Schizosaccharomyces pombe: one gene and its partner. The gene in region 1 interacts genetically with each later gene. Each region holds a gene or a part of one and is shown on either strand. Other genes may lie near its edges.

What was found.
Region 2: of ssp1 (region 1) and mog1, a mutation in one rescues a mutant of the other (synthetic rescue), as found in Schizosaccharomyces pombe (one study listed by BioGRID).

Annotation. Positions count from the first base shown.
Region 1 is NC_003421.2:1,876,447-1,880,206, reverse strand, and holds the start of ssp1 (calcium/calmodulin-dependent (CaMKK) protein kinase Ssp1), read right to left. Parts: upstream 1,761-3,760; 5' UTR 1,494-1,760; coding exon 1-1,493. Other genes in the region: aro2 (chorismate synthase), read right to left, coding at 2,721-3,760. UniProt on the Schizosaccharomyces pombe protein: Involved in actin localization and thus in polarized cell growth.
Region 2 is NC_003421.2:2,246,712-2,250,139, forward strand, and holds mog1 (Ran GTPase-binding protein Mog1), read right to left. Parts: upstream 1,495-3,428; 5' UTR 1,454-1,494; coding exon 881-1,453; 3' UTR 650-880; downstream 1-649. Other genes in the region: Golgi rhomboid protease Rbd2, read left to right, coding at 1-204; cell wall and secondary septum 1,6 branched 1,3-beta-glucan synthase catalytic subunit Bgs4, read right to left, coding at 2,568-3,428. UniProt on the Schizosaccharomyces pombe protein: Involved in the Ran-GTPase system for nuclear protein import and poly(A)+ mRNA export. Required for mitosis-to-interphase transition.

The DNA.
Region 1 (3,760 bases):
TCGGACAACTCGGACGCGGATAAACCAATTGAAGAATTACCAGAGCTCTCAGGCCGACAAATGGAAGAGTCGGAAGGAACAGAGGAGGAAGAATCAAACACTCGCGCTTTTGGACGGCGGAAACGAAACAGCTTACCAAGTTTTCTGCGAAGACGACCCACAAGGCTGATTGCAGAAGCAACTTCGTCTGTAGAAACCTCAACACGACTGACGGTACTGGGATCAGTGTTTTGCAACCATTTTTCAGGATCCTTCAAGCCATCCAATGTCCATGGGTGAAGTTTTACTTCTACAAGTGTTATACGTTGTTCAGGATCTTTGCATAATAATCTTTTAAGCAAATCTCGACCCTCTTCACCAATGTCGGGTGTAGAAGGGATGTTCAGACGCTCATTGACGATTTTGTCAAAAAGCTCATACTCCATGCTAGCATTAAATGGACAACGACCAAACAAAAGGCAAAACAAAGTAACGCCTAAAGCCCATACGTCTATTGCTTCAGAAATCTTAGGCCTTGGGCGATCCAAATCGGTCCAGCACAATTCAGGGGCGAAAAAAGCAGGAGTGCCGACAGTTTTTGCAAGCTCAACGTCGTTGTCTTCATTCAGGCCAGCGTTGGCAATGTACGAAACACCAAAATCAGATATTTTGACACAATTAGAAGAGTTAAGGAGAAGGTTGGCGGGTTTAATATCTCGATGAATAATGCCTTGGTAATGTAAATACTCTAGACCCAAGACAACATCGCGAAAGTATTGTCTTGCCTCGCTAATCGAGAGTACGGGGGAGTCACAATCTGTCCATGGCACTTCCCCACCACTCATGTACTCTAAAACAAGATACACCTTCGTTGAGGATGGATCGTCAATGACCTCGCGCAAGCGGACGACATTAGGATGGACACATTTCTTTAAGATGGCAATTTCGCGACGAACTTTTTCCTTTTGACTGGAAGCATTGGCTCGGCCCAGTTTCGGACGACGTTCCGTCTTCGGGATGATCTTGATCGCCAACAGTTCGCGGGTAACGGTATCACGGCCAAGCTTGACTTTACCGTGCATACCACGTCCTAGTTCTTTTATAATCTCATAGTGGTTAATGTATTTACGACCCGAAAACCGATCAAACCGCTTTCTTATCTTTTTTGTTTCCTTCACCTCGCCCCATTCTTGCAGGCGCTTCCACTGGCGCTGAGCCTCTTGAAAATTATCAGAATAAAGACGCTGGTTATGCTTACCAGGTTGAAAAGTCCATGAGTGAGTTAACGAACTTCCTTCACGTTCTCCGCCCAACGGGGCTATTACATAATCTCCCGCGCTGTAGTTCCGTTTACGAAATGAATCGGACGTTTTCTGGATGGCCTTGTGGACGGGATATTCAGGAAAGACAGAAGGAGGAACTTCGCTATCGTCTACCTCTGGATGCCAAGTATTTTTCCGTAAAAGACGTTGTGGCTCAATTAAAGTTTTTTCTTCATTATTCACTGATCCCATCAGGAAGTGTTCCTCGAGTCCTCTTAAATAGCTTCAATAGTCAATAAGTACATGAATTACCGGATTTACTAATCGAGCTTTTCCTCTATCGGGGACTAGGCAACTCGTATTTCGGCGGGGCTATAGTCGTAAAGCTACCAAGCTAAATGACTCTGAAATTTATTTCTTCTTTAAGACTTGTAGATTTTTAGTAGTCCTCAATCTCCAAAATTGATTAATATCTTGTTTAAAATCAAGCCTACGTTATACTGGTGGTTGGAAAAGGTTAGGTACATCTATACCGTAGCACGACACCTGGTGAGGGATGACGATGAGCACTTTTGGAATGATCATTTTTGCGAAGTACCTTTCACTATTCCGTATTACACTACTATACGTAATCCTCCTTTTCCAGATAGTAGACGGGATGGTTGCTATTTCATCATAGGTGGGACTAACGAGAAGTACGCCTGAGAAGAAGGCTTCATAATAGAATACTATTTTCTTACAGAGGTTTTTTGGTACGTAAAATGTGTGGAACATCAGAAATATTCTATAACAAATTTCGATTATTCAAAATATTACTTTAAAACAACTACCACTTTTTCTCACAAGTATGGAAACGTTGATAGTAAAACCCATAAATCCAAAGATTTTTTTTTTTACATAATAATAATCCTTTACTTCATCTACAAGCATAGACGATGTGCCGATAAACGGCATTAGCAAAAAAAATTTTTTGCAACATGACCAAACTGCCGGTATAATATATCATAATTGCATACACAGTGTGTAAGTATGAATACTTAGATGAGAGAAAAATCAATGGCAAGATTAAAAGAGAATGGCAAAAGCTATATTTGGTCACCAATTTAGATTGTGTACCGCAGGTGTCTGTGTAATAAACATGAAAAAAATCTGCATACAAACAAACATCAATTGCTAGTTGAAGAGAAGGTCTTATACTCTTTGCAACACTTCTTTAGTTTTTCTTGTGTATTAAATTTTTTACTTTTTTTAAAAATATTCATTTATAATCTTACACACTATATTGACAAGTATCTGTTAAATATGCCTTAATTTGTGTTAAATTTACCCTCCAAAAAAAATGTACATATGTAATCTAAGAGACAAAAGGTATATCTAATCCTCTCTTTTTGGCGCATCAAAATAAGATAATCCAGTAGGCTAACTCAATTGAAGTGAGATTCTTGCCCCCAAACTAGCTTATTTTTAACTTTTTTTAATTTATTGAGCATTGGGGAGTAGGTTTCGAGAGGCAATACGACTTTGTTGAATCATGACAGCATCCATAACGACAAGAGCAGCCATGGCTTCAACGATGGGAATGGCACGGGGAACAACACAGGGATCATGACGACCCTTGGCAGCAAGAACACCGTCACTACCATCGTAACGGCTAGTTGACTGTTCTACGCCGATGGTAGCAGGAGACTTAAAGCCAATGGTGAAGTAAACGTTTTCGCCATTGGAAATACCACCTTGGACACCTCCACTGTTATTGGTCAAGGTACCAAGCTTGCCAGTATCAGCATTTCGGTAAAAAAGATCGTTATGCTTGGATCCAGCAACTTTGCAGCCTTCACGGCCTGAGCCAATTTCAAAAGACTTGGTGGCAGGAATACTCATCATGGCATGAGCAAGCTTGGCCTCAAGTTTGTCAAAACATGGTTCACCAAGACCGGTGGGAACATTACGGATCACACAGGTTACAGTACCACCGATGGAATCGTGGTTATCACGAGCTCGAGTAATACGTTCAGCCATCTTGGCGGCCGTCGCAGCATGAGGACAACGAACAGTGGTTTTATCGACTTCCTCTCTCGTAATTTTATTGAGGAATTTCAGATATTCAGCGGTTATAGGAGATTCAAATGTATCATCCTCTGGGTCCAATATGGCGGAAGAAGCGGTTTCGTGCAATGGAATGGCTATTTTGCCTACACTGGAAACAAAGGCAACGATTTCGACACCATAAGCTTCTAAGAGATACTTTTCAGCAATTGCACCAGCCGCGACTCGTCCAATGGTTTCACGGGCACTGGATCGACCACCACCCGAAGATGCCTTGACACCGTATTTCTCCAAGTAGGTATAATCAGCGTGAGAAGGACGAGGGTAGTTGTCCATATCGGAATAATCGTGTGGTTTCTGATCTTGGTTTAGAACCAGCATTCCAATCGGAGTTCCCAGAGTCACGCCAAACTCCGTACCGCTTTGAATTTGAACTTTGTCTTTTTCATTACGAGGAGTCGTCAAATTAGACT
Region 2 (3,428 bases), 370 kb from region 1:
GGAGCTGTTATGGGGTATTGTACTCCTTTCATGCTTGGTTCTATCCCCTTAAAAAGCTGGGCTCAAAATGTGGACCCAATCTTCCAGTCTTGGGTAAAAAACTATCACTCTTTTGATCAACTGTCGCATGCTCAACTCCCCATTGCGGAACCTCTGTCGACCTTTTCTTCTTTCCCCGGAAAAGGAACCCGTCTTGGGGGATGAACTTTCTGTCTTTTACTTCTTTTCTGTTCTTCTTCGTATGATGATATCCTAAATGTTTGTTTTCTTTATTGCAAAGGGTGGAAAAGCTCCTCTCAATGAAGAGATCTTCTATCTTTTGGTAATTCTTATTCAGTATTTTCTAGTCAGTCGTTTACAGGTTTCAATCATAAAGATTGTTTCATTCGCTATATTTGTTCTTTACTTGCACGGAGTTAGGGACAATTAGAAAGTATTTTAATGTTTAATAATTCTTTATGATTAACTTGTTTTAATCACCACTGTCCTACAGCGGCAGTGTAAAGGACAAAAGCTGTACAATCAAAACACCTTGAAATTGTAATTTCCGTTATTCTTTGGAAACTAGCGTTTTACGTTGTACTCTCAAATCATAAAACATTAAACTGTAAAGACACAGTGAAACTTATACTATTAACAATGGAAGAATGGGAAAATTAAAATAATAGCAGAAAAAGTGAAAACCATTGCTAATCGGTTATCAAGTATCAGATGTTTTTATTAAAACCCTTCATACAAGTTGGAATAACCGGTTTTTATAAATAAGAGAAACAATTCCTTTCGGATAAAGAAAAATAAAACTTGAAAAGTATTTCCCTAGATGAAAATCTTAATTAAGTGTTGTGGGCTAGTTAATTTGCTTGCCTATGTCCATCATCCTTTAAGCAAATACTGTTTTATCGACAAGTACAAGAGATCGAGTAACTCGCTGTATTGTTTCGAGAGCAGCGCGAACGATGCTTTGATCAGAAGGGGGAATGTTTTCAACAGAAGAGGGAACTGAGGAAGTGTTAGGTAAAGGAGCATTTACGGAGATTACGATATCTGTTTGAAAGTCAATCAAAGTTATCACATTCACGAAGATTGCCACATTGGTAGCGGATTCAGGATTTCGCTTTCCTTTTTCAAGGACCCTCTGACAACCTTGTACAGAAGATCCACTAGCCTTTTCGCTTCTCATGCCCTCAAAGTCGTCTTCACCAAGACTTTTGTCTCTCCAAATTACTCTTTGAGATGCATCATTATCGAATGCAATGCTATTGAAATGGTAAGCTGCCACACTTCCATCAAATGGCTTCTCAATTTTTTCCAAAAGCTCAATGATCACTGTTAGGTTTTCCTTGGAATCTTGCAAAAACACCTCTTGGTTGTCAGGAATCTGACGCAAAACGCTAGCATCGAGAAATTTAGGAGGGAAATCAGCACAAAGAGCCCCACCGAATAGCTGTACCATTACTATAAAAATATAAAAACCTAATAGATTTGTTTGTCTCAAGAACCAGATTGGTATTCGAACCACAAAAGGATTCTTTCCTATTTTCACTCCATTTCATTCGACTGCGGTAACAAGTTAGTGCGTGTTATTTTATGTTTCATTATTATATTTATCGCTAGTAAAACGCTTTAAATGAGCCTAGATTCAATTTTCAATATTTACGCACTGCACGGTAACTACTAAACTGATTTAAAATTAAAATAAAAAGAAATTCAAATTGATGATTTTTAATGAAAATGATATGTTAAAAATAAAATTTTGTACACATATATAGTTTCTAATATCGTTTTGACAACTAGTATATCAAATGGATGAAAGGACGCTCGTAATCTTGTAATCATGAGTCCATTCAGATATCCATAACTAATACAAGGATAGGGCGTCTGATAACTTTTACGATTAAGTTGATTAGTTGTTCAGCCTTCCACTTGTGTGATACAAAAGAGAAATGGAATTGCACACTAGAGTGGTTATTTCAAACTTTCTATTGATCTGAAAAACCTAAATTAAACGTTCACTAGATAATAAGTATTCAACCAAAAGATCAATTTATGTACGGTATCATAATCTACTTCAATACTTTTACACAATTACATCACCTTATATTTTAAACAAATATCCATTAACTGACCAGCAATAATATAGGTAAAAGTTTTGTGAACCAATGGGAATTCTTATTCATTTGTATATAGATAAATGAAGAAATGTATATATATGCATAAAATCCTAGCCCATCAAACTGTAACCTGAAAAGGCTTGTAACAAAACTCATCAATCTCAAACTTGTAAATGGTGAAATAGCAAATGTAACGTAGATAGAAAGATGGTATGAGTAAAAAATGATAAACGGTTAACCCTTTAGCTTTGCTTTTATCCTTCAGAGCTCAATAACTCAAGTCGAAGAGATGGGACCAAGCACATGCTGAAATGTATGAATGAAATGAGTGTAACAAATAAAATTAATAAATTGCTGAGATACTTGACGAAAGCTCATCAGAACATCAGTGTAATATAATAGCGAACTAGCGCATCTTTTCAAATTCATTTTAAATGATTTTTCTAATAATCCCATCTAGTAAGTGGTATTGAATTCGAAATGGTATCTGTCGTACCAGAAAGAATAATTAGCAGTATAATTCGTGTCCCTTGGTTGAATGATACCGCTACCAATTGAAGAGTTAGTTTGGTTCCATCCAACAGCACCCTTGGCAACAGCCTCAGAAGCAGTTAATCCTTGGCGGATTTCTGCACCAGCTGCCAATGGAACAATAATAAGAATAAGGAATATTACCAAAATTGAAAAGTACAAGGCTGAATAACGACGAACAATACGTTTCCGCAGTCTATTCTGCTTGGTAGAGAAAATAGGAGGACGAATTTGACGACTTGGGCGCAACCAGAAAAGAAGAACTGAATGCCAACGATCAATATATGGGATACAAATCACAGGAAGCATAAAAAACAGTAATAAGTGACCCAAGAAGAAATCAGTAGCAAACAAATTAAGTTCTATGGCTTTACAGACAAATTCACGAGCAGGCAAAGTAAAGGCATGATAGCCATATCCTTTGCCATACCATTTACCACTCCACCAAGAAATATTAGCACTATCTTGTTTGACCTCACGAGATAAACATAATAGTGTTAAAATTTTGAAGATAAAACGATGAATTGCAGTAACAGCACAGAAGGCCAACACAGTCTTGGGTAATGACCATCCATCAAGGAACCAGCAGACTTCAAAAATAGCAATGAAGATGAAAATTTGGATCGTGTGGGCAATTGCAGCAAAAATAGATGGAAACTTTTTACAGCACAATCCAAAGGCTGGACCCAAACAACAAGCCATACCACCAAAGAAACCTGACATACCAAAGCCTGCTGCAATAGGAATGAGAGAGATAATAACAAGTCGCAAAATGGGATTAGTACC